Pelodiscus sinensis: one gene and its partners. The protein of the gene in region 1 interacts with the protein of each later gene in a pairwise test. Links are inferred from orthologs where the notes say so. Each region holds a gene or a part of one and is shown in the gene's direction. Other genes may lie near its edges.

Evidence for each region.
Region 2: the proteins of TK1 (region 1) and UNC119 interact in a two-hybrid assay, tested with the Homo sapiens proteins (2 studies listed by BioGRID and IntAct). The link is inferred for Pelodiscus sinensis from reciprocal best matches to the Homo sapiens genes TK1 and UNC119.
Region 3: the proteins of TK1 (region 1) and GDF9 interact in a two-hybrid assay, tested with the Homo sapiens proteins (2 studies listed by BioGRID and IntAct). The link is inferred for Pelodiscus sinensis from reciprocal best matches to the Homo sapiens genes TK1 and GDF9.
Region 4: the proteins of TK1 (region 1) and TLE1 interact in a two-hybrid assay, tested with the Homo sapiens proteins (2 studies listed by BioGRID and IntAct). The link is inferred for Pelodiscus sinensis from reciprocal best matches to the Homo sapiens genes TK1 and TLE1.

Annotation. Positions count from the first base shown.
Region 1 is NC_134730.1:29,476,434-29,483,975, forward strand, and holds the start of TK1 (thymidine kinase, cytosolic), read left to right. Parts: upstream 1-4,536; 5' UTR 4,537-4,623; coding exon 4,624-4,683; intron 4,684-6,990; coding exon 6,991-7,022; intron 7,023-7,379; coding exon 7,380-7,493; intron 7,494-7,542. UniProt on the Homo sapiens protein: Cell-cycle-regulated enzyme of importance in nucleotide metabolism. Catalyzes the first enzymatic step in the salvage pathway converting thymidine into thymidine monophosphate.
Region 2 is NC_134731.1:102,336-109,750, forward strand, and holds the start of UNC119 (protein unc-119 homolog A), read left to right. Parts: upstream 1-4,397; 5' UTR 4,398-4,494; coding exon 4,495-4,660; intron 4,661-7,415. UniProt on the Homo sapiens protein: Involved in synaptic functions in photoreceptor cells, the signal transduction in immune cells as a Src family kinase activator, endosome recycling, the uptake of bacteria and endocytosis, protein trafficking in sensory neurons and as lipid-binding chaperone with specificity for a diverse subset of myristoylated proteins.
Region 3 is NC_134727.1:24,606,352-24,613,223, reverse strand, and holds the start of GDF9 (growth/differentiation factor 9), read left to right. Parts: upstream 1-3,855; 5' UTR 3,856-3,894; coding exon 3,895-4,327; intron 4,328-6,678; coding exon 6,679-6,872. UniProt on the Homo sapiens protein: Required for ovarian folliculogenesis. Promotes primordial follicle development. Stimulates granulosa cell proliferation. Promotes cell transition from G0/G1 to S and G2/M phases, through an increase of CCND1 and CCNE1 expression, and RB1 phosphorylation.
Region 4 is NC_134716.1:39,162,212-39,169,874, reverse strand, and holds the start of TLE1 (transducin-like enhancer protein 1), read left to right. Parts: upstream 1-4,648; 5' UTR 4,649-5,733; coding exon 5,734-5,757; intron 5,758-6,723; coding exon 6,724-6,824; intron 6,825-7,019; exon of another isoform or gene 7,020-7,492; intron 7,493-7,663. UniProt on the Homo sapiens protein: Transcriptional corepressor that binds to a number of transcription factors. Inhibits NF-kappa-B-regulated gene expression. Inhibits the transcriptional activation mediated by FOXA2, and by CTNNB1 and TCF family members in Wnt signaling.

The DNA of each region.
Region 1 (7,542 bases):
AAATATCCACAAGCCCCCGAGCCACTTACCCCAGTGTTTAACCCCCCTGGCAGGCAGGAAGCATTTCCTAATGGCCAACCTCAGCCTCCCTTGCTGCAGTTTAAGTCTATTGCTGCTTGTCCTGTCCTCAGAGACCAAGGGGAACAATTTTTCTCCCTCCTCCTTGTAACACCCTTTTAGATACTTGAAAACTGCTGTCACGTCCCCTCTCGGTCTTCTCCTTTCCAAACTAAACAAGCCCAGTTCTTTCAGCCTTCCCTCCTAGCTCATGTTCTCCAGACCTTTCATCATTCTTGCTCTTCTCTGGACCTTCTCCAATTTCTCCACATCTTTCCTGAAATGCGGTGCCCAGAGCTGGACACAATACTCCAGTTGTCGCCTAATCAGGGCAGAGTAGAGCGGAAGAACGACTCCTCGTGTCTTGCTCACAACACTCAGGGGCTGTTTCTAGACTGGCAAGTTTTTCCACAAAATCAGATGATTTTGCGGAAAAACTTGCCAGCTGTCTACACTGGTCGCTTGAATTTCCGCAAGAACACTGACGATCTCATGTAAGATCTCATGTAAGATCGTCAGTGTTCTTGCAGAAATACTGTGCTGCTCCCGTTCGGGCAAAAGCCCTCTTGTGCAAATCATTTGTGCAAGAGGGCCAGTGTAAACAGCACAGAACTGTTTTCCGCAAAAAAGCCCCGATTGCGAAAATGGCGATTGGGGCTTTTTTGCAGAAAACCGCGTCTAGATTGGCCACGGACGCTTTTCCGCAGAAAGTGCATCCTGCCAACCAAGATGTGCTTTTCCGAAAATGCTTTTAACGGAAAACTTTTCCCTTAAAAACATTTTTGGAAAATCCTGCCAGTGTAGACGTAGCCCTGTTGACTCAGCCCAGAATCATGTTTGCTTTTTTTGCAACAGTGTCACACTGTTGACTCATATTTAGCTTGTGGTCCACTATGACCCCTGGACGCCTTTCAGCAGGGCTCCCTCCTAGACGGTCGCTGCCCATCGTGTGTGTGACACGGATTGTTCCTCCCTAAGTGGAGCACTTTGCATGTGTCCTTATTGAACTTCACCCTGTTCCCCTCAGCCCATTTCTCCAGTTTGTCCAGATCATTTTGAATTCTGACCCATCCTCCAAAGCACTCACAACCCCTCCCAGCCTGGGATCATCTGCAAACTTAATAATCCCGCTCTCTGCCACTTTCTAAATCATTGAGGAAGATACTGAGCAGAACCGGACCCGCCACTGATCCCTGCGGAACTCTTCTTGATCTGCCCTCCAGCATGGCAGGAAGGGTCCTGGAACAGCTGGTTATAAACCCCAGTGGTGTCAGCCCCGAAGAAAATAACCCTGGAATGAATCAGTTTCACAGCATTGCCCAAGAGGCTTTTTCTCCTGCAAGGAGGGGCCCTGTAGACAGCTCCTTGGGACAAGAGCCTCTTCCGCAAAATGGTGGCTAATTAGGTATGCAAATGAGGCTCCGGAGATATTCCACCTTAGTCTCATTTGCATACTTCTGGCGCAGGATCGGCCCGTGTAGACCCAGCCTAAGCGAGGTCCTGAGAGCAGCTGGACAAGGACCCAGCTCCCTCCTTACCCCGCCCCCCAGGAGTACCCGAGCGGGCAGCCCCTACCTCGTCTGTCATGTCTTGCCACCGCCCCATGTCGCTGCCCCCGCCCGCCCGCACCGGCTGCGCTCGGCTCGCTGCGTGGCCAGCGCAAAGCAACCCCCTGCGGCCGCCCGCGCGCGGGGTGGGGCCGGCCCGGCCCGGCCCCATTGGCTACTCTGGGGGGGCGGAGGCGGGGGGGGGGGCACCCGGGGGGCACCCTCCAGCAAAGCGCAGGAAGCGCCGCGGGCTCCCCAGCAGCAGGGCGCACAGCTGGGTCCCTCGGCCAGGCAGCGCCCCCAGCCAGGGGAGGGGTCGCATCGTCCCGTCCGCGTCCCCACTACAGCACCTGGTGCAGAAGCTCCCCCCGCCCCCGCCTGACCAGGCCTGACCCCCCCCAACAGCTGCCGTGTAGACAAGAGGGGAGACCCCTGCCCCGGAGTGGCTAAGCGCCAAAATAACAAAGAGCGTGGTCACCCCAAGCTCCTGCAATCCCCGCTCCCCCCCCCGCTTCCACTTGGCTTGGATCAGCCCCCCCTGCAATCCCCGCTCCCCCCCCCGCTTCCACTTGGCTTGGATCAGCCCCCCGTGCAATCCCCGCTCCCCCCCCCCGCTTCCACTTGGCTTGGATCAGCCCCCCCTGCAATCCCCGCTCCCCCCCCCCCCCGCTTCCACTTGGCTTGGATCAGCCCCCCGTGCAATCCCCGCTCCCCCCCCCGCTTCCACTTGGCTTGGATCAGCCCCCCCTGCAATCCCCGCTCCCCCCCCCCCGCTTCCACTTGGCTTGGATCAGCCCCCCGTGCAATCCCCGCTCCCCCCCCCCCGCTTCCACTTGGCTTGGATCAGCCCCCCCTGCAATCCCCGCTCCCCCCCCCCGCTTCCACTTGGCTTGGATCAACCCCCCCTGCAATTCCCGCTCCCCCCCCTTCCACTTGGCTTGGATCAGCCCCCCCTGCAATCCCCGCTCCCCCCCCTTCCACTTGGCTTGGATCAACCCCCCCTGCAATCCCCGCTCCCCCCCCCCCCGCTTCCACTTGGCTTGGATCAACCCCCCCTGCAATCCCCGCTCCCCCCCCCCCGCTTCCACTTGGCTTGGATCAGCCCCCCCTGCAATCCCCGCTCCCCCCCCCTTCCACTTGGCTTGGATTAGCCCCCCTGCAATCCCCGCTCCCCCCCCCCGCTTCCACTTGGCTTGCATCAGCCCCCCCTGCAATCCCCGTTCCCCCCCCCCCGCTTCCACTTGGCTTGAATCAGCCCCCTCTGCAATCCCCGCCCCCCCCCCGCTTCCACTTGGCTTGGATCAGCCCCCCTGCAATCCCCGCTCCCCCCCCTTCCACTTGGCTTGGATCAGCCCCCCCTGCAATCCCCGCTCCCCCCCCCCCCCCCGCTTCCACTTGGCTTGGATCAGCCCCCCCTGCAATCTCCGTTCCCCCCCCCCCCGCTTCCACTTGGCTTGGATCAGCCCCCCCTGCAATCTCCGTTCCCCCCCCCCCCCGCTTCCACTTGGCTTGGATCAGCCCCCTCTGCAATCCCCGCCCCCCCCCGCTTCCACTTGGCTTGGATCAGCCCCCCTGCAATCCCCGCTCCCCCCCCTTCCACTTGGCTTGGATCAGCCCCCCCTGCAATCCCCGCTCCCCCCCCCCCCCCCGCTTCCACTTGGCTTGGATCAGCCCCCCCTGCAATCTCCGTTCCCCCCCCCCCCCGCTTCCACTTGGCTTGGATCAGCCCCCCCTGCAATCCCCGCTCCCCCCCCCCGCTTTCATTTGGCTTGGACCAACCCCCCCCTGCAATCCCCGCTCCCCCCCCCGCTTTCATTTGGCTTGGACCAACCCCCCCCCGGAATCCCCGCTCCCCCCCCCCCGCTTTCATTTGGCTTGGACCAACCCCCCCTGCAATCCCCGCTCCCCCCCCGCTTTCATTTGGCTTGGATCAGCCCCCCCTGCAATCCCCGCTCCCCCCCCCCGCTTCCACTTGGCTTGGATCAGCCCCCCCTGCAATCCCCGCTCCCCCCCCCCCCCGCTTCCACTTGGCTTGGATCAGCCCCCCCTGCAATTCCCCCCCCCCCGCTTCCACTTGGCTTGGATCAGCCCCCCCTGCAATCCCCGCTCCCCCCCCCCCCCCGCTTCCACTTGGCTTGGATCAGCCCCCCCTGCAATCCCCGCTCCCCCCCCCCCGCTTCCACTTGGCTTGGATCAGCCCCCCCTGCAATCCCCGCTCCCCCCCCCCCCCGCTTCCACTTGGCTTGGATCAGCCCCCCCCCTGCAATCTCCGTTCCCTCCCCCCCCCCGCTTCCACTTGGCTTGGATCAGCCCCCCCTGCAATCCCCGCTCCCCCCCCCCCGCTTCCACTTGGCTTGGATCAGCCCCCCCTGCAATCCCCGCTCCCCCCCCCCCGCTTCCACTTGGCTTGGATCAGCCCCCCCCCTGCAATCTCCGTTCCCTCCCCCCCCCCGCTTCCACTTGGCTTGGATCAGCCCCCCTGCAATCCCCGCTCCCCCCCCCCCCCCCCGCTTTCATTTGGCTTGGACCAACCCCCCCTGCAATCCCCGCTCCTCCCCCCCCGCTTCCACTTGGCTTGGATCAGCCCCCCTGCAATCCCCGCTCCCCCCCCCCCCCCCCCGCTTTCATTTGGCTTGGACCAACCCCCCCTGCAATCCCCGCTCCCCCCCCGCTTCCACTTGGCTTGGATCAGCCCCCCCTGCAATCCCCGCTCCCCCCCCCGCTTTCATTTGGCTTGGACCAACCCCCCCCCCGGAATCCCGCCACGGTCTCGCCCCTCTGCACCCGCCCCGGGGCTGCGCGGCTCGGGGCGGGGCGGGGCGAACGCGCTGCGGGCCGGGGGGGCCCTGGGCGATGGGGGGGGGCAGTGACCCCGTGACCGCCCCGCCCCGCATCCGAGGACGTTTCCCGCCAGGCCGCTGATTGGTGGCCCGGGGCGCGCGCGGGACTGGCCCGCTGCTGATTGGCCGGCGCCGCTGGAGGAGCCGAGGCGCGCGGGCCCCTGCGCAGCAGCAGCGGGATGAGCCACCTGAGCGCGCCCGGGCCCGGCTCCCCCGCCAAGGCGCGTGGGCAGATCCAGGTGCGGGGGGGCGGGGGGGTTCGGGATGCCGGGTTCGGGGGGGGCGCAGGCCCGGGGGGGGGTTCGGGATGCCGGGTTCGGGGGGGGGCGCAGGCCCGGGGGGGGGTTCGGGATGCGGGGTTCGGGGGGGGGCGCAGGCCCGGGGGGGGGTTCGGGATGCCGGGTTCGGGGGGGGCGGGCCCGGGGGGGTTCGGGATGCCGGGTTCGGGGGGGGGCGCAGGCCCGGGGGGGGGGTTCGGGATGCCGGGTTCGGGGGGGGCGCAGGCCCGGGGGGGGGTTCGGGATGCCGGGTTCGGGGGGGGGGCGCAGGCCCGGGGGGGGGGTTCGGGATGCCGGGTTCGGGGGGGGCGGGCCCGGGGGGGTTCGGGATGCCGGGTTCGGGGGGGGGCGCAGGCCCGGGGGGGGGTTCGGGATGCCGGGGTTCGGGGGGGCGCAGGCCCGGGGGGGGGGTTCGGGATGCCGGGTTCGGGGGGGGCGCAGGCCCGGGGGGGTTCGGGATGCCGGGGTTCGGGGGGGGCGGGCCCGGGGGGGTTCGGGATGCCGGGTTCGGGGGGGGGTGCAGGCCCGGGGGGGTTCGGGATGCCGGGTTCGGGGGGGCGCAGGCCCGGGGGGGGGGTTCGGGATGCCGGGTTCGGGGGGGGCGCAGGCCCGGGGGGGTTCGGGATGCCGGGGTTCGGGGGGGGCGGGCCCGGGGGGGTTCGGGATGCCGGGTTCGGGGGGGCGCAGGCCCGGGGGGGGGTTCGGGATGCCGGGGTTCGGGGGGGCGCAGGCCCGGGGGGGGGTTCGGGATGCCGGGTTCGGGGGGGGCGCAGGCCCGGGGGGGGGTTCGGGATGCCGGGTTCGGGGGGGGCGCAGGCCCGGGGGGGGGTTCGGGATGCCGGGGTTCGGGGGGGGCGGGCCCGGGGGGGTTCGGGATGCCGGGTTCGGGGGGGCGCAGGCCCGGGGGGGGGTTCGGGATGCCGGGGTTCGGGGGGGCGCAGGCCCGGGGGGGGGTTCGGGATGCCGGGGTTCGGGGGGGGGGTGCAGGCCCGGGGGGGGTTCTGGATGCCGGGGTTCGGGGGGGGGGTGCAGGCCCGGGGGGGGTTCTGGATGCCGGGGTTCGGGGGGGGTGCAGGCCCGGGGGGGGTTCTGGATGCCGGGGTTCGGGGGGGCGCAGGCCCGGGGGGGTTCTGGATGCCGGGGTTCGGGGGGCGGGCCCGGGGGGGGTTCTGGATGCCGGGGTTCGGGGGGGCGCAGGCCCGGGGGGGGTTCTGGATGCCGGGGTTCGGGGGGCGGGCCCGGGGGGGTTCGGGATGCCGGGGTTCGGGGGGGGTGCAGGCCCGGGGGGGTTCGGGATGCCGGGGTTCGGGGGGGCGCAGGCCCGGGGGGGTTCGGGATGCCAGGGTTCGGGGGGGATGCAGGCCCGGGGGGGGGTTCGGGATGCCGGGGTTCGGGGGGGGCGCAAGCCCGGGGGGGGTTCTGGATGCCGGGGTTCGGGGGGGCGCAGGCCCGGGGGGGTTCGGGATGCCGGGGTTTGGGGGGGCGCAGGCCAGGGGGGGTTCGGGATGCCGGGGTTCGGGGGGGGCGGGCCCGGGGGGGTTCGGGATGCCGGGGTTCGGGGGGCGGGGGCAGGCCCGGGGGGGGGGTTCGGGATGCCGGGTTCGGGGGGGGCGGGCCCGGGGGGGTTCGGGATGCCGGGGTTCGGGGGGGCGCAGGCCCGGGGGGGGGTTCGGGATGCCGGGGTTCGGGGGGGCGCAGGCCCGGGGGGGGTTCGGGGGGGCGCAGGCCCGGGGGGGGTTCGGGATGCCGGGGTTCGGGGGGGCGCAGGCCCGGGGGTGGCGTTCGGATGCCGCGGTTCGGGGGGGCGCAGGCCCGGGGGGGTTCGGGATGCCGGGGTTCGGGGGGGGTGAAGGCCCGGGGGGGGTTCGGGATGCCGGGGTTCGGGGGGGCGCAGGCCCGGGGGGGTTCGGGATGCCGGGGTTCGGGGGGGCGCAGGCCCGGGGGGGGTTCGGGATGCCGGGGTTCGGGGGGGCGCAGGCCCGGGGGTGGCGTTCGGATGCCGGGGTTCGGGGGGGCGCAGGTCCGGGGGGGTTCGGGATGCCGGGGTTCGGGGGGGGTGAAGGCCCGGGGGGGGGTTCGGGATGCCGGGGTTCGGGGGGGCGCAGGCCCGGGGGGGTTCGGGATGCCGGGGTTCGGGGGGGCGCAGGCCCGGGGGGGGTTCGGGATGCCGGGGTTCGGGGGGGCGCAGGCCCGGGGGTGGCGTTCGGATGCTGGGGTTCGGGGGGGGCTCACTCAGCCCCGGTCTCAGGTCGTTTCCTGTCTCCCCAGGTGATTTTCGGGCCCATGTTCTCCGGGAAGAGGTAGGGGCTGCGGGGTTCTCGCTGGGGGGTCCCTCGTCGAGTCTCCGGGGGTGGGTCGCGCTGCCCGAGGCTGGGCTGGGGCCCCGGGGCAGGGGCTGGCGCTTAAGCTGCTTTGCTGGGCGTCCGTGCCTAGATCAGCTGCTAGCGGAGCCACAAAGGGCCCTTCGTGCTGCCCACCTGCCTCCCCAGGTCCCTGCTCCCATCACAGGGCTGCCAGCTGGCCTCTGTGTCCTTGGTAGGCCTGCCCCCGCTGCGCTGCCTCCTGCTGGGATGCTGCTTTGCATTGGGGGAATCCTTGGCGGTAATAGCCATTCCTGCCCCTGTGCTAGCCTCATGCTGGGGCTGATTGTCTTGTAGCACGGAGCTCCTGCGCCGGGTCCGCAGATTCCAGATTGCACAGTACAAATGCCTTTTGATAAAGTATGCCAAGGACACGCGCTACGGCACCAATGGGGTCTCCACACACGACAGGTGAGCTCATCCCAGTATCGGGGCGGGTAACTATAGAGAACTCTGCTTA
Region 2 (7,415 bases), on another chromosome or scaffold:
TGGTGAACTTAAGCACAAAAAGGAAGCTTACAAAAAGTGGAAACTTGGACAAATGACCAGGGAGGAGTTTAAATGTCTAGCTCGAGAATGCCGGGGGGTTATCAGGAAGGCAAAAGCGCAAACGGAATTGTGATTGGCTAAGGATGGGAAGGATAACAAGAAAGGTTTCTACAGGCATGTTAAGAAGAAGAAGGTGATCAGAGAGAGTGTGGGGCCCCTACTGGATGAAGGAGGTAACCTAGTGACAGATGATGTGGGGAAAGCTGAAGTACTCAATGCTTTCTTTGCCTCTGTATTCATGGACAAGGTTGGCTCCTGGACTTCTGCGCTAAGTGACGCAAGATGGGATGAAGATGGACAGCCCTTGGTGGGTAAAGAACAGGTTAGGAACTATTTAGAAAAGCTAAACATACACAAATCCATGGGCCCAGATTTAATGCATCCGAGGGTACTGAGGGGTTTGGCAAATGTCATTGCGGAGCCTTTGGCCATTATCTTTGAAAAGTCGTGGAGATCGGGAGAAATCCCGGATTCGAAAAAGGCAAATGTAGTGCCCATCTTCAAAAAAAGGAAGAAGGACAATCCAGGGAACTATAGGCCGGTCAGTCTTACCTCGGTTCCTGAAAAAATCATGGAAGGGATCCTTAAGGAATCCATATTGTGGCACTTGGATGAGAGGAAAGTGATTAGGAATAGTTGGCATGGATTTACAAAGGGCAAGTCGTGCCTGACCAATCTGATTAGCTTCAATGATGAGGTAACTGGCTCGGTGGACATGGGGAAGTCAGTGGATGTGATATACCTTGCCTTTAGCAAGGCTTTTGATACAGTCTCCCACAATATTGCCAGCAAGTTAAGGGAATGTGGATTGGATAAATGGACGGTAAAATGGATAGAAAGATGGATAGAAGGCCTGGCCCAGCGGGTAGTAATCAACGGCTCGATGTCAGGATGGTGGTTAGTTTCTAGCGGAGTGCTCCAAGGTTCAGTTCTAGGACCGGTTTTGTTCAATATCTTTATTAATGACCTGGATGAGGGGATGGATTGCACCCTCAGCAAGTTTGCGGATGACACTAAGCTGCGGGGAGAGGTAGATACACTTAAGGGCAGAGATAGGGTCCAGAATGACTTAGACAAATTGGAGGATTGGGCCGCAAGAAATCTGATGAGGTTCAACAAGGACAAGTGTAGAGTCCTGCACTTGGGACGGAAGAATCCCAAGCATAGTTATAAGCTGGGGACCAACCAGTTAAGTAGTAGTTCTGCAGAAAAGGACCTGGGGGTTACTGTGGATGAGAAGCTGGATATGAGTCACCAGTGTGCCCTTGTAGCCAAGAAGGCTAATGGCATATTAGGTTGCATTAAGAGGAGCATTGCCGGAAGATCCAGAGATGTCTTTATTCCCCTTTATTCGGCTTTGGCGAGGCCACATCTGGAGTATTGTGTCCAGTTCTGGGCCCCCCACTACAAAAAGGATGTGGACACACTGGAGAGGGTCCAGCGGAGGGCAACCAAAATGATGAGGGGGCTGGAGCATATGACTTATGAGGAGAGGCTGAGGGAGTTGGGTCTGTTTAGTCTGCAGAAGAGAAGAGTGAGGGGGGATTTGATAGCAGCCTTCAACTTCCTGAAGGGAGGTTCCAAAGAGGATGGAGAGAGGCTGTTCTCAGTAGTGACAGATGGCAGAACAAGGAGCAATGGTCTCAAGTTGTGGTGGGAGAGGTCCAGGTTGGATTTTAGGAAAAACTATTTCACTAGGAGGGTGGTGAAGCACTGGAATGGGTTACCTAGGGAAGTAGTGGAGTCTCCATCCCTAGAGATGTTTAAGTCTCGGCTTGACAAAGCCCTGGCAGGTTGATTTAGTTGGAATTGGTCCCGCATAGAGCAGGGGGCTGGACTTGATGACCTTCTGAGGTCTCTTCCAGCTCTATGATTCTAGGCTGCAAGCTGTCCTCCCTAACTGAGCTGCCTTGAAATGAACAATCAAAGCAGACAGGTCTGAGGCACCAAGCAGTGCTCTTGGCTAGAATCTTATCCTGTGTGGTTTGTAGCATGCAGTCCTCTTGATTGGTCAGTAACTAGATCCATCTCATAACCACTGATTCTGATACCCACTGTGGCCTGCTTCCTTTATCCAGCAGTCTTACCCGAAAAGGGCAGTTGTAGCAGGCAAGATGTCTCAAAACACAGCTGTGGAATCAGAGCCGTCTGGGCTGTTTCCTACCTACGCTACACCAGTGAGGTGTAATGAGGCACCAGGGCTTCAGTCATGGGCAGCAGCTCCTACTGCCCTCTTACCTCCCCTCCCCCATTCCACTACCCCCACCTCAATCCAGCTCCTGCTGTTTCATCCTGATCCCCTTGCCGGCTATGTCTAGACTGGTATGATTTTCTGCAAATGCTTTTAACGGAAAAGTTTTCCGTTAAAAGCATTTGCGGAAAAGAGCATCTAGATTGGCACGGACACTTTTCCGTAAAAGCACTTTTTGCGGAAAAGCGTCCATGCCAATCTAGATGCAGTTTTGCACAAGAAAGCCCTGATCGCCATTTTCGCAGTTGGGGCTTTTTTACGCAAAACAATACCGCATTGTCTACACTGGCCCTCTTGCGCAAATGCTTTTGCGCAAGAGGGCTTTTGCCCGAATGGGAGCAGCATAGCATTTCCGCAAGAACACAGACAATCTTACATGAGATCGTCAGTGTTCTTGCGGAAATTCAAGCGGCCAGTGTAGACAGCTGGCAAGACTTGCCAGTCTAGACGCAACCACCTAGTATTGTTAGCATAACTTGACCTGCTGTACTTACTATTCCTACTGCATGGGGCCTGAAACTCCTAACAGAGTGAAGTTTCAGCTGTCCATTATGTTCCAGGTACAGCCAGTGTTACTTTGAATGAGAAGCAGTGTTGCTGAAAGCCAGCCCCACTTCTGTTTTGGTAATGGAGAAGGCTGGAAGAGGCTGAGAGTTGGATCAGGATGCAGTTGGGTGTATTTCCATTAGTTTGCAGCATTGGGTAGAACTGAACTAACTTCTGCCTGGATTGGCCTAGCAGCAGGATTTGAATGGACTCCTAGCTTCTTGATTCAATTTTGCTGCTGAAAATGAGGATACAGCATGACCTATCACACACTTCAGTGTAGACTGCTAGCAAGTGCTCTTTGAATTGCAACTTGATGCTGCGTGGCCTACACCGTTCCTGAAGTTGCATTATCCAACTCCAGGCACATCCAGTGCAAGGCTAGCTGAACTGGTAAGGTAACCTGTGTGTGCGTGCGCAAACATTGAAGTAGTGTGAAATAAACCTGCAACTGCCTTTGCTTTTCTCTTTAAAATGTGCATTTGCTACTAGTCTGGATTGACAGTAGCCACCTTAATTATGTCTATTAAATCTCCTTAGGAAATGCCTTTCAGTTTGCTATATCTCATTTAAAATAAGGATGTGAGCCAGCATCCTGATGGGTCTAAACAGCTACTTTTCAGAAATAGAAGCATAAGAAATTTCTGGATTAAAAATTCCAGCAGCTCCACACTGCTTAAAGTATTTGGGAAGAGGAGAGGGGTCAGGCAGTGACTGCAAGCTCTATACCAACAACGGGCAGCATAGGCTCTTCATCTCAGTTGGCCACAAGACTTATAATCAAGGTGGTCTTCTGGGGTGGGGTAGTTTTGCTAACTGGAATTTGTGGGGTGTGCCAATTGAACTGGAACAGCACTTTGGATGCAGAGAGCACAGAACTCTCACAGTCAGTGTTGCGTGTGACCAGCCCTCCCTTCCTATGCCCTTGTCACTTTAGTAATAGTGGTAGGGGAAAAAATGACAGAGACAGAAACTAGCATAATCTGACCCTCCGGATGTGGACACTGGTGAATGAAATGTCTCTTAAGCCACACACAGAACCCTGACGGGCTGCATATGGCCCATGGCCTGCAGGTTGCTCACCACTGCTCTAGCCTTTGTCTTGCTCCTGCAGCTGAGTCACAGTCCTCTGAAAACTGGCTTACAGAAGAAGGGGCTATATAGAGGATGGCTGTGAACTGCAGAAAGCCCTTGAACCTCCCGTGTGTATCATCTGCACTTTAGACTGATTCGCAGGCTTCCCCTCTAGCAACCTGACCAGAAAGCCCCTTCCCCACACCCTCTGCCATTTCTGCCCTAGAAGAGTTGGGATGAGGGCAGGCAGTGGGGCGCTGAGTGGAGGGGACTTACAGACTGGCCTGCGGGAAGGCAACCGAGCATGTCTTTCCCTGGCCGCGGTAGCCGGTTTCTGCTGGCTTGGAGGGAAGGCAGCCAGCATCTGGCCGCAGCCCGGCGGGGGCATTGACAGCACCGCGGCTGGGCTGGAGACGGGGCAGACAGGCAGGGTCGGTGGAACTCCCGGCCACTGACGGCGGGGAGGGGCCGCGTGGCCCCACCCGCCGCGGGCGGAGCTAGGCCCGGGCGGATCGGCGGCAGCTGGGCTCTGCCGGCAAAGACGCCGAAGCCGCGGGCGGGGGATGAGTGAGCCCGCCCTCCGCGCCGAGAGTCGCGCGGGCCGGCCGGACAGCGCGGCCATGCGGGTGAAGCGGGGCGGCGGGGCGGCGGGCCCCGAGGAGCAGGAGCTGCTGCGCAAGCCGCTCATCGGCCCCGAGGACGTGCTGGGCTTGCAGAAAATCACGGGCGGTGAGTGCTCGGCCCGGCCTGCCCCTGCAGAGGGGCCCGCCCCCGTGGGCCCCGGCCTGCCCCTTCGCTTCCCCTTCCTCGGGGGTGCCAGTCCCTGCAGGGGGAGGTGTGCCCACCCTGCAGCGGGCTGGCTGGGGCCCTGGGCTTGCATAGGGCTCCTGCCTTGTTTCCAGTCCCTGCAGGGGGAGGTGTGCCCACCCTCCAGCGGGCTGGCTGGGGCCCTGGGGCACGGGGCTTGCATAGGGCTCCTGCCTTGTTTCCAGTCCCTGCAGGGGGAGGTGTGCCCACCCTGCAGCGGGCTGGCTGGGGCCCTGGGGCCCGGGGCTTGCATAGGGCTCCTGCCTTGTTTCCAGTCCCTGCAGGGGGAGGTGTGCCCACCCTGCAGCGGGCTGGCTGGGGCCCTGGGGCACGGGGCTTGCATAGGGCTCCTGCCTTGTTTCCAGTCCCTGCAGGGGGAGGTGTGCCCACCCTGCGGCGGGCTGGCTGGGGCCCTGGGCTTGCATAGGGCTCCTGCCTTGTTTCCAGTCCCTGCAGGGGGAGGTGTGCCCACCCTCCAGCGGGCTGGCTGGGGCCCTGGGGCACGGGGCTTGCATAGGGCTCCTGCCTTGTTTCCAGTCCCTGCAGGGGGAGGTGTGCCCACCCTCCAGCGGGCTGGCTGGGGCCCTGGGGCACGGGGCTTGCATAGGGCTCCTGCCTTGTTACCAGTCCCTGCAGGGGGAGGTGTGCCCACCCTCCAGCGGGCTGGCTGGGGCCCTGGGGCCCGGGGCTTGCATAGGGCTCCTGCCTTGTTTCCAGTCCCTGCAGGGGGAGGTGTGCCCACCCTGCAGCGGGCTGGCTGGGGCCCTGGGCTTGCATAGGGCTCCTGCCTTGTTTCCAGTCCCTGCAGGGGGAGGTGTGCCCACCCTCCAGCGGGCTGGCTGGGGCCCTGGGGCACGGGGCTTGCATAGGGCTCCTGCCTTGTTTCCAGTCCCTGCAGGGGGAGGTGTGCCCACCCTGCAGCGGGCTGGCTGGGGCCCTGGGGCACGGGGCTTGCATAGGGCTCCTGCCTTGTTTCCAGTCCCTGCAGGGGGAGGTGTGCCCACCCTGCAGCGGGCTGGCTGGGGCCCTGGGCTTGCATAGGGCTCCTGCCTTGTTTCCAGTCCCTGCAGGGGGAGGTGTGCCCACCCTCCAGCGGGCTGGCTGGGGCCCTGGGGCACGGGGCTTGCATAGGGCTCCTGCCTTGTTTCCAGTCCCTGCAGGGGGAGGTGTGCCCACCCTCCAGCGGGCTGGCTGGGGCCCTGGGCTTGCATAGGGCTCCTGCCTTGTTTCCAGTCCCCATTTGGCTGGAGTGACCCCTTGTTCCCTAAGGCCTCTGCTAGCCTGGCCCGGCCCTTCCCTCCTGTCTGTGTGCCCAGCAGTCTGTGCCAGGGCAGAGGCCCTGCTTTGCCCAGTTGGGCAAGGGCGGAGGTGGGGGGTACGTCGGAGACCTGCTGAATTTTGTCTGTCCTCTCGCTCCATCTCCCGAAGGCCAGCCCTGCCACTGGGTATTTACTGCATGTGGGCTGTGTCTCTGGGGGCTGCCTGAGGACAAAGGGGTGGCACAGGACAGCACCTTCCCCCGAAGAGGGGGGCATTGATGGTGTAGGCTGAGGAGCTGGTGCTTAAACCCTGAAAATGCAGGGCCAACTAAGTCTCCGAATTCAGAAGCACCCAGCTCCTTCAGCCTTTAGCTTTGTTGTTAGAGGGGACAGCTTCAGTGGGACACAATGTTTCTCTGTCCGTGTGGACAGACTATGGGACAGCTTGAGGTGGTGGCTTTGTGCTGCATGTTCCCTAGCTGATGCCCAGAGACACCTGCCCTGGTCTGAAGTTCAATCTGAAGTTTGTGGCCTGGTTTCCTGTGTTTGCAAGACAGCTATGCATGAGCCAGCCCTGTGGGCAGAGCCCTGGGTGCTGGGGGCAGCACTGAATGGTGATGGCACTTCTTGCCATTGTGCCTGGCTGTGGAGTTGGGGGTGAACAGCATCAACGTAACTCACTGGATGGGGGGAGCTGCAGTGACTTTCCCACCTTCCACTTGGCTTGGGGTGGGGAAGAGGATCAGGGAGAAAAACCATGGTTTGCTAAGCTTGTAACCCAGGATTGTTCCTTAAAATAGTTTCGCGTGGGGTTTTCTGTGCCTTCTAAATCGCTTTGTGATTCTGCCATAGTCTGTTCTTAAACTCCTCTTCTGTTCAGCTGGCTTTGCTGAGAGCCCACATGCCCTATGTTGGTCACTGCTGCAAGAGGAGGGGCAGGTTATGGCTGTGGAAGAGAGTCTTTGCTCTCTGAGCTTCTCTTCCTCCATGCACAAAGTATCCATGGAGCTGCTGGTCTCTACTGGGGACTTTGCGCAGAGGGCAGGAGAATGCCTCCAGGTGACCCCTTGTGCTGTGTAGGTTCAAAGGGGGAACCAGTCCTTTGGAGGCTAGTCACTGTGGGGTAACACATCTGAGTTATTAGCCCTGCTGATTGATGAGGAACAGGCTGTTGTGCTTTCCAGCCGTGTGCCTCTAGCATGTTGCAATGGGACTTGGGGGTTCAAGTCTTTCTGGCCTCTGCTGATCACAGAAGTACCAAGAACGTAAGAACGGCCAGGTTGGGTCAGATCACCTGTCCATCTAGCCCAGTATCCTGTTGGCCAACAGCGGCCAATACCAGATGCCCCAGAGGGAGGGAACACCACAGGTAATCCTCACGTGATTCCTCCCATGTCACCCATCTCCTGAGAAACAGA
Region 3 (6,872 bases), on another chromosome or scaffold:
GCTACCTTGGGTAGCACATTGGTGGAAATTAGAAAAAAGGTGACCATGCAATTACACCATTCAGTCCATACCTTCTCTTGTCAGGACTAATAACCAGGGGCCAGTTAATATACACGGCTTTTGGTAACTGGGACACTTGACCACTGCAAAGGACAACTCATTTCACACAGGCCACCAAACAATGGCAATTTTTAGAGCACTTCTGACTAAGATGAGATTCGCACCTGTAACCTAGGTATTTAAACCTTTATAGTACATTACTACTTCCTTGAGCCACCCAGTCTACCTGATATACATGTTGAAAGTGGTAGCTCTTTTAAAACCCCTCTCATCTCACAGTGTACTGTATGCATAAGAATATCTGAGATTTTACTAGGATCCACTGTGTAGAATTATAGTAAAATATTTATTATTACTTCACACAACACCTAGAAGTTAAGAATTGTTGGAGTGGATTGATACTAGTACATTGCTTGATGAATACTATTTTAAAAGTGTATGGAAGTATAAACCAACCCACCTAACAAAATGTTTAAATGTAACTGACCTTAGAAGTGGCAGTGCTCTCCTCTTATCACAACATAATCAGCTCTGAGAAGGCAAAAAGAACAAGGTAACATTATTCTGGTATGTGGATGGTTAGCTGAATATAATCCTAATCAGTTTTATAATTAACCTTCCAATCTGAGTGAAAGTATTCCAGCCTGACATTTTGTAAGTTAATTAACTTTCTATGAACGAGTGCTCCTTTCTTGGAAACAGCGAGATAGGAAAGTTAAACGATGGGGTGACATTTTACCACACTACTGATAACATGGCTCTAATTAAAAACAACTGACAAGAATAGAGATTCTCTCAGGTGTTATCCTAATAAAATTTTTAAAAATCCCAATTAGACATGTTCAGCAACAGGCAGCTCCATACATTCCAGATGTAATCAATAGTGCTCTAGTAAGGTCTTTAGGAGCACATTCCACAGATAGCTGGCTGTGATTGAAAAGCACCCTACTTATATGGATGCCTAGATTTCAGATTGCAGGGAGAAGGGCTTTACTTAGGGATTGAAAGGTAATCTGAGGGCACTATAACCACAATTACTTTTCCATTCCATTTCTCTAAGACTGGTATTAGTGTCTGCAGAGAAATGAAAGTCCAGAAGCATGTTAACAGCAAAGACAACTATAAGTCAGCTACTTTACACTGTAATTAATACTTCTACTGGTGTGGTCAGGTAGTTGAGTGCAAAAAAAAAGTATTCCTAGAGCATGATTTTTTAAAATTTTGTTTTTATTGTAATTTGAATGAAAAAAAAAGCCCTTAAACATTTGCCTTTAGTATTTGCAATTTAGACATCACAGTGCAAAGCCAGGGCAAAAAAAGTACAAAAGAGAAACAAATTGGGACAAACTAAGATTGTTTATTTTTTGTAAAATCACCTAATAGCATCTGTGGGGGAAAAGAAATAAGATTTTTAACATTCATTGATTTGTAATTACCTCAGGTATTACTAGTGAGTTTTCTATGTTGTTTTAAAAGGATTGAGCCAAGATCAGGCATGGGTTAAGTGAGCTGTACCGACACAACCCATATCTGAATTTGGCTCATTTGTTATAAACTAACCAAAAATACAAGTCTTTTACAGTACACAGTCAAGCACATATTATTTGCAACCACACATTAAATGTATTAAATTGCTTATTTTATTCACTGTTGATTTGTACAATAGTTGCCACAAACACAAGAACTACACTCTAAATAACTTATTATACAGTCCTATTCACAAAATGAAATGTAGCTGAAAATGTTTTTCAGAATCTGCCCAGCTCAGTGAAAACCTGATGTAATGAGAGCAGAGCAGATCTCATATGAGCTTCTTGAGGGTTCTGGCCCAGTAGCTATACACAGAACTTTGGCTGGATGCCTGTCTTCCCCAGCAGGTGAATCACTCTGAGGCTTAGGCAGGAGACAATCTCCTGACACCTTTTATAAAGCAGTAGTGCACACGCTCAGGTGGGAAATAGGAGCCTAGAATGAAACTGTAGTGCACATGTGTGACGTAGTGGAGGTACCTGGCTGGTTTCTATGCTGCTGTCTCTGGGGGTACCTGGCTGGTTTCTATGCTGCTGGCTCTGGGGTAACCCCCACTGGCTGCCGTGGGTACCACAACCCAGCAAAACAGGATGAATCACTATGCAAACCAGTATGGCCAGCCACCCCCCATGGAGAGGAACAAAGGAAGGTGGAATGCTGCCCTGGCTGGGGGGCAGGGCTGGAAGAGGGTGAGGGAGTTGGTGTCTGGGAGCATGGAGGAGACAGCCTAGGGAAAGGGACTGGAGTTTAGGGGCCCAGTCTCCCCCATCTCAAGGGGGCCTGAGGCATCCTAGCCCAGCTCTGTGACCAGATTACATCTGTGCTGTGCTGTATCATGGAGAGGCAATAAACTTCCTCTATTCCACCGGCTGGTGCAGTCTGTTCATGCCATTTTGGGGTGCAGGAGACGGGGAACCCCCAACGCGCCGTCACAACATGCCAAAAGGGAAAACCCTTGACACTGATTGGCTATGTCTACACTTGCGGCTTCTTGCGTGAGTAATATGCAAATGAGGCTAAGCGTGGACTATTGCTGAGCCTCATTTGCATACCTAATGAGCCACCATTTTTTCAGAAGAGGCTCTTGCGCAAGAAGGAGCGTCTACACTGCCCCTTCTTGCGCATGAAAAACCCTCTTGCGCAACGCCGTTCTTCCTCTCAAGTAATAGGTGTAACGGCATTGCACAAGAGGGTTTTTCTTGCTCAAGAAAAGGCAGTGTAGATGCTCCTTCTTGCGCAAGAGCCTCTTCTGAAAAAAATGGTGGCTCATTAGGTATGCAAATGAGGCTCAGCAATATTCCATGCTTAGCCTCATTTGCATATTACTCGCGCAAGAAGCCGCAAGTGTAGACATAGCCAATGAGTCTGGGTGCCCACTGGGTTGGGCAGAAGCTGAGTGGGGTTTGTGGATCACAATGGTGCCTAAAAACAGGAAGAAGGTGTCTAAATCCCCTTGTGCAAATATACATCTCACTCTAAATCTCACAGATCACACAAGAAGTTAAAGGGTGAGTGGGGATAGGAATTCAGCTATTTCTATCTCAGAGACCCTTGTTTAGAACACAATATGTTCACTTTTGTTACTAGTACACTACCACGGCTTAGCTCACCAGAGTGACCTATCATACCATGTCCAGCATTTACCAGAGCAGCTAAACATCAGATTTCAAATTAAAGAATTATTCATGAAGGATTCTTGTTTTCTGTTTCACCCAGGAACTCTGAACTTTATCCCCTACTTCCTTCTTCTCTTATTCTCCATTATCTCAGCTATGGTATTGTAAGAAACCCCATTTCAATTTTTTCCTATAGAAACCTTTTACTTACCAGCTCATTGAAAGATTATCATTGAGGTTTTTTAACCAGTTACTTTTTGGGGGGTTGGGATTGGGGGGCAGAATTATTATTGTGGTAAAAACATGTTTGAATGCCACAAGCTGCTTTAGGGTTGTAGTTATAGCCAACTAAAATAAGTATTATTGATCCATCATTTCCCCTTGTCCCTTCTGGAGAGAATAAACATGCTAATTAATTAGTACCTTTCATAATCACTAATGGTTTCCATGTGAAAATGGGTAAGTGGTGAGAGTGGTGTGCTAGTTTTCAAAGTGCCTACATGTGCAAAGATTCTAGCCTGAACTCAAATGGCCATTTGGATTCACTCTCCAGCTGTAGATCTCTCCGTTTGGTGTAAACAGAGAGATACTTCCTTCCCACTCACACCTGAAATATATTTAAGAGGCCAGGCTTAGTTATTTTTCTGTTTTAAGATACAACCTGTCATGGGATGAGGGTTTTTCTACTATGGCCTCCAGCAGCATGGCAATTCCCTGGAAAATCTTTATCTGTTTGTATTATTGTGTTCGCCTGCTTTCTTCTGTTGCTCTGTGTTCCCCCAGCTCTAGGGATGAGACAGTGTCTGAGAAGATGCCTGAGCTGTTGTTTGTTCCTGAGGATGAGCCTCCATTGTTGCTATTGCCGCCAGGTGTGAGAAAAGGTTATACCCTCCTGCCACCTCTTCTCAAGGTGCTGTCTGACCAGAAACCTCACAGTTGGGAAAGTGAGGTCCCAAGACTCCAGCCAAATTCCAGAGCCCTTAGGTATATGAAGAGGCTATATAAGATGTCTGCTACAAAAGAAGGAATCCCCAAAGCCAACAAAAGTCATCTCTATAACACTGTAAGACTCCTCGCTCCATGTGCTGAGTGTGAGCACCACCACAGGGACCAAATAAAAGGTAGGTGAGGAAAGATGTGTGTTTGGGGGAGATATAATTAAAATTCTCTTTCCTTTCCCCCCTTGTTCCTTCAATGGGGTGAAATAAAGAAACGTGTAATCTCTGCAGATCTGTATCTATTATACCTACTGGATGACTTTTCTCTTGCACTGGATAGGTCTTTTCATAATATGCCTTGCCTTAAAAGGAGTTTAGGTCTGGCTTTGCCATAACTTAGGTCTTTGAACCTACATAATTCTCACATCCAAACTGATGCTTACCCCTAAATACATTTTAGAACAATCCAGCATGGCCATTTTAAGATAAACTGATTTTTTTGTTTTGTACCTTTTGAGTCAAGCAAGGAAAAAGAAGTGACTGACATCTGCTAGCTAGATGCCTTATGTTCTTTTATTGCCATGTGTAAAATGCAGAATTTAAAGTCAGCAAACTCTGCCTCTGTAATCAGATCTTATTAATGATGTGTTAGGATCCAAATACAAGAGGACTTTTTCAAATCAGTCCACTGTTCTTCATCTACTTTCTACCAGAGAAGAACCAAACACTCTTTCCCCCCCACCCTATGAATATCCATATTTGTAATGCATGACTTCAAATAACTTAATGCTGCAGTCGAGAAGCTTCAAGCAGAGAATAATGGGGTGGGGTGAAAGATGTGGTCTGATCACAAGACTGGCAACCAGCAATCCCTGACTTCTAATCCTGCATGTATGGCTGTGGACATGTTACTTCAACTCTGACTCAGGATTTCTCCCTTTTTATTTATTTATTTATTTATTTTTTAAAGTCTGGCTACAGATGTGAACCTTCATCACATATTTTAAGGTGAAGTGCTCCAAAGTTAAGATTTTATAAAAGCAATAGGATTTATTGATTATGACCTGATGTATAAACTGCAGTCAAACTACTGTTTTAGGTGCATTGCTACAAAATCCCCTAAGTAGCATGATAATAAAATGCTTAAAAGCAAAAACTTATTAATGGGTGCATCTCCTAAGTTATCTTCTATATTATTGTAACTATTCAGATGGCTAAATTTGGAACTCACTCACCATCTCTCTGTGCAGCTCATTTCAAAAAAGCAAACAACTTAAGGGTTAGTGCATCTACACTAAATTCATAAAGCCCTCATTTAGAATATTCTCTGTAGTTAGTGGCCTTTTTCTCAAAAATAAGGATGAAGAATTAAGGAAGTTCAGAAGGCTAACAATTATTAGTAACATGGGGGAAATGCTCCAAATGAAAGAACTGGAATTCTTTACCTTAGAAAGCAGATAAGTAAAAGGGGAATGTGATAAATTAGTCAAAATAGCAAATGGTATGAAAAGATAATTCAGGAGTATCTGTTTTCCCTGTTTGTTGATATGGGGAGGCAATCAATGAAATGGGAAGATGGCAAATTCAAAGCTGAACACAAGAAATACTTTTATACATAATCTTATTTCTATAGGATCCTCTTCACCCACTATTTTTAATACCTATAGAAAGCCTGCAAAGATCTTTCTTTCTCTACAGCTACGACTATACTACAGGCTTCTTTCAGAAGAGATCTTTCAAAACAACTTCTTCCAAAAGAGAGCGTCCACTCTGCAACAGTGCATCGAAAAAGCGATCTGCTTTTTCAAGAGAGCGTCCTGACTAAATGTATGCTCTCTTGCATGTAAGCAGTGGATGGAATGGCCACCAGGGCACCTGTGCTTTTTCCTCTTTTTCTGAAAGAACTCCCTCTTCCCCGTCCACACACGCCTTTTTGTGAAAGAGCTCTTTTGTAAAAAGGCTTCTTCCTCATAGAATGAGGATTACCAATGCCAGAAAACCCCCTCTGTTTCTTCAATTTTCTTGTGGAAGAACTCAATTGTAGTGTGAATGTTCCTCAAGTTTTGTTGGAAAAACAGCCATTTTTCCAACAAAACTCTGTAGTATAGACATACCCTACCATTGCTACCATATTCAGTTTTGCATTTTTTCCTTCCTTAACATAACAAAAAAATGTTGCCTTTTTTTTTATGAAGTATCACTAGTTAACTAGTGTTGTCCCATCTATGGGACCAGGGTGTGGAGCCAACAGATGAATCCACCATTGTTTGCTCCTCCAAAATGTCAAAGGTATGTGTGTATAAAATTGTGTGTATATATACGACAGACTGGTGCATTTTCTTAGAGTAAGATTTTGGAACCTTTTCGACATTCTCTGCCAGACTACCAAATTTAAGTTGCATTGAATGTTGGTCTAAATTTCTTCCCTTTTTAATGACTTATTTCTGTTTGATTATGCACACTTGTCAAGTGCCACTGAAAATGGTTTAATCTCTACAGATACTTTGTTACAGATACTTTGTTTCCTTTCTCAGAAGACCTTCGCTCAGTGGATCTGCTTTTCAATCTGGATCGTGTTACTACGCTGGAGCATTTACTCAAGTCCGTCTTGCTCTACTCCTTTGACAGATCAGTTTTTAGTTTTTCTGCCAATACATGCACATGCCACTTAGCTGTTAAGGAAAATGATCCCTCTACTCAAGTGTGTCCCAATGTACCGCAGTCAATT
Region 4 (7,663 bases), on another chromosome or scaffold:
TAAAAGAGATTTGTGTGTGTGGTCTCTTCCTAATTTATTTGCACTTCAACCCACTGGGATCAAGCTGCAATCCCTGTAGGCAAAAGAAGATTAGGGAAAGGGACTGACTGTTTTTTCCCAGAGACAGACGGGAAAGCAACTCTTCAAGTATTGCAAGTTCTTCTGGCCTCTATACAAATTGTTCCTGAGTGTGGAGAGTTTCCAAAAGACCTAATTAGCAACTCACTACAAACATTTCTTTGCATTAGCTAATGATCCGGCTACACTTGTAAGCAAACAGTACCAACATATCTAATCAATGCAGAAAAACCAACAGAATGCCTATTAAACATCTGGATGTAATTTTCTAGTTAGACTTGAAATAAAATGAAAACATATGCAGGTTCCTTTGATCTCTGCCTTAACAAAGAAATTGTTGATATAAAAGCATACTGGCTAGTCAATGTGTCATTTTCATAAACCCTGGTCATTTCTCTTCAGATGTTCCCAATTTAATTTTGTTGGTTTCCTGCAATCTCTAATTTTACCATATTGTGTGAAACCACAAGAGATTCTTTGGATCTGATTTTATTTGAGGTTTTACTGATGCATAATTTGCTACTGATTTTTTTTTCCTACTTAGTCTGGAAGAATTTTTTAAGGGCAACAAACTGAGAGAAGGTAATCGCGAGATGAAGGAAAAAAGTCATCCTGGAACTTGTCAAAAATTCCTGTTTATAAGACAAATTATTAATTTGAAAAAAGTTGAAAAAATATGTAAAGAGCTGATTAACTGTAATATAGTGAATTATGATAAAGTAAATAATTTTATCTTGTTATAATTTTGATTTTATAAATAAGGCAGAATCTTGAAAAAATACTCCTTTTGCATTTCATTATAACCATTATAATCTCTTCAAATATAGCACTATTATATTACATATACCATATGACTCAGGCACTCTTTCATCTAGTTTTGCTCCTAGCTGTACAGTAAGCACATTGCAACCAAATATTTTAAAATGTTCATCTTCTTTTTCTGAAAGATAATCCAATGAATTTTTAAATAAATAATTTTAAAAGCATAAACCCTATTAAATCTTATACTTGTCTTTTAAATTTTTTTCTTACCGCATTATGGTTTGCAGAGGAGTGAAGTAAATTACAATTTTTAGAAAGAGTTTTCTTCTCCATTAGCAAATTCCAGATAATTGACATTACCAGCATTTTATTATAAAGATTTTGCCACTCTGTGGGAATTTTTAAAAAGTGAAAATGTATTCATATTGCTTGTAACCAATAATGCTAACTGTAAAGAATAAAAAAATAAATCAAATGAAAATCATTCCTCTGATTGAGCAAGATGCTATATCTGAAACCTAATATTATAATAAAACTACATTTTGGGCCTGATCCTGATTGGTTTGTGCACCCAAAACTCCCACTGATGTCATTGTGAGTTTTGGTACAAAATCAAAACAGGATTAGGCCTTGACACTGTCGGAAATCAGAACATCAAATTAGTATGCTCGTAGTAAGGGAAAAAAGTATCAGATTTCAAATAAATGAGTAGAAATTATGATTAAATAGAGATTTTTGGTATTTTATTATTGAAGGCCTCTGCAAACAGCATGTTTATTTAAAACATAAGATTAAAGCAGCTTGATTGTTTAAACATCATTATTTTTAATGCAGTAGTATAATTATTACAGTATAACAGTCTAAAAGAAAATATTACCTTGAATGGGATACAGCTGAGCTTTCTATACCTTTACTCTTCAACGTATCCAAATTTTGCTCTTGTTGCACTGGCTTAAGTATTGAGAAACATCATGGACTCCAGTGCAATTAACATTACATTTACATTGGTAAAAAAACAACAAATGGTCTGCCAAGAGCAGATTTTGGTCCCCTACCATCAGACCATGATGAATTATAAATTAACTACATGAAAGAACGAGTATTTATTTATTTATTTATTTAATACATATAATAACTTTCATTTTACAAAAATCAACCCGTTTTATAATCAAACAGTTCTATGACTGGTTTTACTGCTTATCCATTCTGATTTTGATGGAAGAGGCTCAAAATGCCCTTAAGTCTCTGCTCCTGGCACCTCAGTAGGTCAGAAAGAACTTGTTAAAAGGAATGAGGAAAACAGAGTGCTCTCCTGCATTTGTTAAAACATGCCCTGAAAAATTTAAATATGGTAAATACCGGTAAAGATCACAAGACATTTCAACTTTCATGTAGGTGAGCAATTAAAATATCCACTTTTGTTCTTGTTCCAAAATATACTGCTGTTTTAATGCTTAATCTGTTTATATCTCATTAACAACTTGCGCCAGCAGGCTAAGCATTGTATTAACCAAAGCTGGATGAGAAAGTGTTGTGTTGTCTCAGGTTCCATAACTACCAGGTGCACTCCTACCATATATAATGATAGTTTGTATTTTATAGCACTTCTCATCTGAGGAATCTAAAGTGCTTTATAAGCATTAATTAATTAAACTTCTTACTGCCTCTGTGAGATAGCTAAATATGCTAATAATATCTATTTTATATGAATAAACTGATGCACAGAGAGGTTAAGTGCCTTGCCCATGATAACACAGCAAATCATTGGCAGAGTTGGCCATAGACTTCTCGGAAATTCTGACTCCCAGACTTGTGCATGAACCACTAGACAAATTTACAATCTGCTACCACAAACACTGCCTTCTATTTAAAAGCAAATCTTTGTTGACTACCCTTAGGAAATGGTGAAAGGAGAAAATATATTTTCTTAGCCTTATAAGTATCACATTCAAAACCCTAAGGAGTGCAAAATTCATCTGGTATTTTGCAAAATACTCACAGGTAATAAGAGCTTTGTTTTAGTTTTTGTTATCCACACCTTCCCCTACACACACACACCTCTGTCTTCTGTCATTTCTTAAATGCAGGTAAAATTGGTAATAAAGCAGTTCAAAAATAATAGAGAATTGAATAAAGCCATACATTGCTCTTGTTCAGAGATGTAACGATTTCACTCCTATTGAATTGTAACTATAATCACTTCTAATTTAAATTATATACTGAAAGTACAATTATGAATAAATCAATCGCATACACATTTAAAGGAAAGTTTAAATATAGGGTGAAAAAATGTTTACTATTAAATTGCTCTCTTTATGTTCAAGTGGCTCCCTATAATATTTAGAATCTCTCCACTAGGTAAAATATATTACAGTAACTGAATAAGTACATGAACATTTATTAAAGCATTGTTTTAAATTTAAAGCTATTCGTGCCTGATGCTTGATTATTAAATTCTGTTATAAATAAAATGGTTGTTACTAGAGGATGTGTTCTAAAGATGTTTACATCCCATTGTGGGCTGTGTCAGTGTTTGGCATGGTGGTAGTCACACATGGAACATGTGGAATTGATTTGACCCTAGTCTATTTCAAATAGACCTATAAACTGTTTATAATATTGGAAGTTTCTGAGTGCTTGGCTCTGATGAAACTCCCTTAGAAAAAGTCAGTATTACGCAATATGGACAACTTCATTTCTGTCTGAGGTTACCGTCTAAAATTATATTGCAATATATTAGACCTGAGGTGAGACTTTCTTCCTACTTTATTATGTATCTCCTCTATTGAAATACACTATAAGTGGGTGCCATAGTTTATGCACCTGTCTGTACATAACCTATAAATCAAATATGTATGCATACCATAGTTGTCTGTTAGAATTAGAAAGTAAATGCTGAGATAAAAAATCATAGGCTAAAAGTGCTTTCAATTTACAACAATGAACAGCACTGAATGTTGTTTTTAATAAAAACAGGTATGAGAGCAAAATGGGGCCTGATTTGTGGTGATTTGGATGGGCTGTATATCTGTATTATAATAGCATAAAGTGGTCATTTGTATAATTTATATTTAAATACAACTGAGTATGTATATACATAAGACATTAAAATAGTTGACCACTAGTGGATCTTATGGGTAAATTGGCTTTCCAGCAACTGAGTTTTGTCATGTTCATAACTTTCCTTCTGGTCCTCGAGGTGAATTGTTCTAAGAAAAATTGGATACAGATAACTATATACACACTAACCTCAAAGGCTGCCCTAGTGCATAACACTCTACACCTTAGCTTGTGTGTTTAAGCAGGGCACTGTACGTCTGGCTGTAAAGGCAGCTGGTCCTGCCCTAAAATAGGATGCAGTATTTATCTTTCCATGTTACTTTCACAGATTGAGACTAGAGAAAGGAGGGAGGGCAAAGTGGAGGAATAAACCAGATCCCAGCAATACACTCCTCCCTCCATTCTCTTTCCCCTCCTCCTCCTCCTCCTCCATTCTCTTTCCCCTCCTCCTCCTCCTCCTCCTCCTTTCTCTCTGGTTCCCCCCCCCCGCCCACGTTACTTTGAGTGACAGTTCAGCCTCTCCCCTCTCCTTCCCACCGTCCTTCCCGTTCTCCCCAGCCTTTCTGAGCGTTCCACGGACTCCTATTGGTCCGCTCGGAAGGGTCCTGCCGCTCTGCCAGGAGAGCTGGAGGGATCAGCCGCTTGCCCCATTGGGCAGGCGGGAGGAGTACATCAGCGCCCCACGTTGGTGCCTGAGCAGGCGATTGGCCAGGGTCCTCCCCACCTCCCTTCGAGTGGGCGGGGCCGGGTGGCTGGTTAGCTAGAGGAGTGTGAAACCGCGTGTTAATGTAGCCAGCGCGGGCGGATACATTGTGTCCCGTGTACCGAGAGCCTGCTACTGCCTGGGCGCTGCGCTCCTCGGCCCGCACCCCGCGGAGTTTGCATCCTGCGCGCTATTAGCCATGGGGGCGCGGCTGTAAGTGGGGGGGGGGGTCTGGGTTTTTTTTCCCCCCGCCCGCCGCTGTCTGGATGTGTCACCCCGGGGCGCTGGAGAGAACTTTGTCCCGGCCGTGAGCGGGGCGAGGCGCCGGCCCAGGATGCTGCTGCGCGCGGGGCGCTGCTGGTGAGAGCCGCTGCTGCGAGCGAGGCTGCCGCGGGGCTGATCCACGGAGGAGTTGATTAGCCTTTGAATAGCCCTGCCGGGTGCGCTTGGGGGGGAGGGTGGCCTGGGAGCAGGGGGTGGGTGTTGCTGGTGCCTCTCTCTTTGCAACGGCCCGAGGAGTCTCCGCGGTGCATGTGCCGCTGGAGCCGGCCCCTGCTACTCTGCGAGCGGCCCTTTCGCCAACGCCCGGGAGCAGCAGCAGCGCGGCACTCGCCGGGGACTTTCTCTCGTGCCCCTATCTGCTGAGTGTCCCGCTGGTGCCAGCCCGCCCGCGCCCCGGCCTGGATTTCCCCTGCGGGCAGGAGCCGTGGGGAGAGGATTCGCCCCCGCTCGGAGTTTCCGGTCTTACAATTGCACAAGTTACGAGCCTGCGAAAGGGGATTATTTACGCTGCAGACAGAAGCGGCGGCCGGAGGAGGAGGAGGCGGTCAGGCAGCGAGGGGAGCAGCCACCCCCCGCCTTGTGCCGCCCCCGCCCCGCGGAGCGGCGCGGCCTGGGGACCGGCTGGGGCCGGCGCGCCCAAGGAGCCGACACCTGCCGGTGACTTTTCAGAAAGCGGCGGGACCGAGCCCCCAGCCCGACAACAACAAAGGAGGCGACGGGAGGAGCATGCCGCGGCCGGGGCGCTGAGCGGTGGCGTCTGCCCCCGGGGGCTGCACGGGGCTCGGGATCTAAAGTTGGGGTCTGAGTCGAGAATTGAGCTGCACAGGAGCAAAGCGGCGGCCAGAGCCATGTTTCCCCAGAGCCGGCATCCCGTAAGTAACCCCAGGCCCGGACACCCCGCAGGTGGGGGTGACAGAGCGGGGATCCCCGCTGCTCTTTCCCCAGGGTGAGTGAGTGAGTGAGTGGCTAGTACCCCTGCTTGCCCAGTCAGCCTCTCTCGCTGTCGGGGCTACATTCTCCACCGCCTCCGCCTCCTGCTCTCGCAGTCCCGCGGGCCCTTGGGCTTCCTGCCCTAAGAATAGCAGACCCACAACAGGGCACGAGGCAACTTATTGGCTTTCCTGCTCTTCTCCCCCCCCCCCCCCCCCCCCCCCCCCCCCGGCGTGTCCCTTTCCCGGAACTCAGACCTTGCCTGTCTACCGGAGAGCATAGGGGGATGGGGGTAGGGCGTCTCCTCTCTCCCTCCTTCCCTTTTGTTTTAATGTGTAACTTATTTGCATCTAAATGACAATGGCGGGGCCGGGACGCTCCCCCGCCTCCCCGCCAGGTTGGCTCCTTCCCCCTTCTTTAGTTGTGGCCAAATAAGCTCTGGCTGCTGGACCCAGGGACAGGATATGAGCTCGCCTTTCCACCCCCCCCCCCCCCCCACCGCACTTGATTTTACAGCAGGGAGCGGTTAGCAACCTACTAGTTTTCCTGGGATGGTGGTGACAAGTGTAAGGAGAGTTGAGGGGTGTTCCAGGGTGGAGTGAAAACCAACTTCTTTTTTTGTGGGGGAGGAGGTGTAGTGGGCAGTCGTGATAAGTGGAAGGAGGAGCTGGATCTCCAAGTTTCTCCCCGCTTCCATTAGCACACACAGTTGTTCATGTGTTGCTGGAGGTGCCCCAGTTGTAGGGTGGCAAATGGTGGTGGGAGCAGGTGCTTCCTAAGAAGCTACCTGCCAAGACAGTGGGATAAGTAGCTTATCTTTCATGCCCATCTTATGGCCTTGCTCACTGTTTTTTGTTTAAACATTTTTCTTTTCTTGTGCCTTCTTTCTTCTCTCCTGGCCTTTCTAGACACCACACCAGGCTGCAGGTCAGCCTTTTAAATTCACTATTCCAGAGTCTCTAGATCGGATCAAAGAGGAGTTTCAGTTCCTCCAAGCTCAGTATCACAGGTGGGTGCATCATGTTTTTTTCATACCCAATTCTCCCTGCACCGCAGGCCTGAGGCACATACTGCGTTTGAGGATTTCAGGCTGGTGCACAACGTGTTGTTCAGTGGGGTGTATTTCTTATCTCCACTTTTGCTGGTGGGAGAAGCTGTGTTTTATGTCTGTGTCCAGATGGTGGCGTGTGGAGTCACAGTTAAGTCCTGTCATTCACTCCTTTTCTTTACTTGCCATTGTTTTCATAGCTTGTTTTGCTGCTGTTCAGATGAACTTTTTCTGTGTGTTTTTAGAGCTTCACAATAACTGTCAATATTTGCTCTTGGGAATTTTGTAATAGGCTGTGTTCAGAACAGCAGGTCAATGGGTGACTTTGTCCTCATGTTACCGCATTCCAGTACTAAGGACTGTTGAAATAAGGTTTTAATAAGAACTAGAAGTTCAATGGGAAGCAGTGAAGTCCAGTGGTGAAATTGAGTGTCTGAGTTTAGGACCAGTTTAGGTTCTAAGCCCAGCTCTGGCACTTAATATATGGAACCATCTGTAAAATGCTCAGGATGGGAGTGTGGAATTTAACTCTTTGATAGGATTCTTTAGTGAAAAGCCTACAAAGTATTGGGAGAGAATATCCCCTTCTAACTGTAGGGGAAAATGTAAAAGGCTGGTTCTCAGCTTATGTATGTCTGCACTTTTTTGATGCAAATAAGACTTTAAAGAGCAAATAAGGATTTTTAAAAAAGCATGCAAGTATTTTAGTGTGCTACCACATATAAGTGAATTTCATTGCTTTGGTAATCTAAGTTATGGTTGCTATACTATTCTTGATATATTGCCAGTTCTTGTGCATG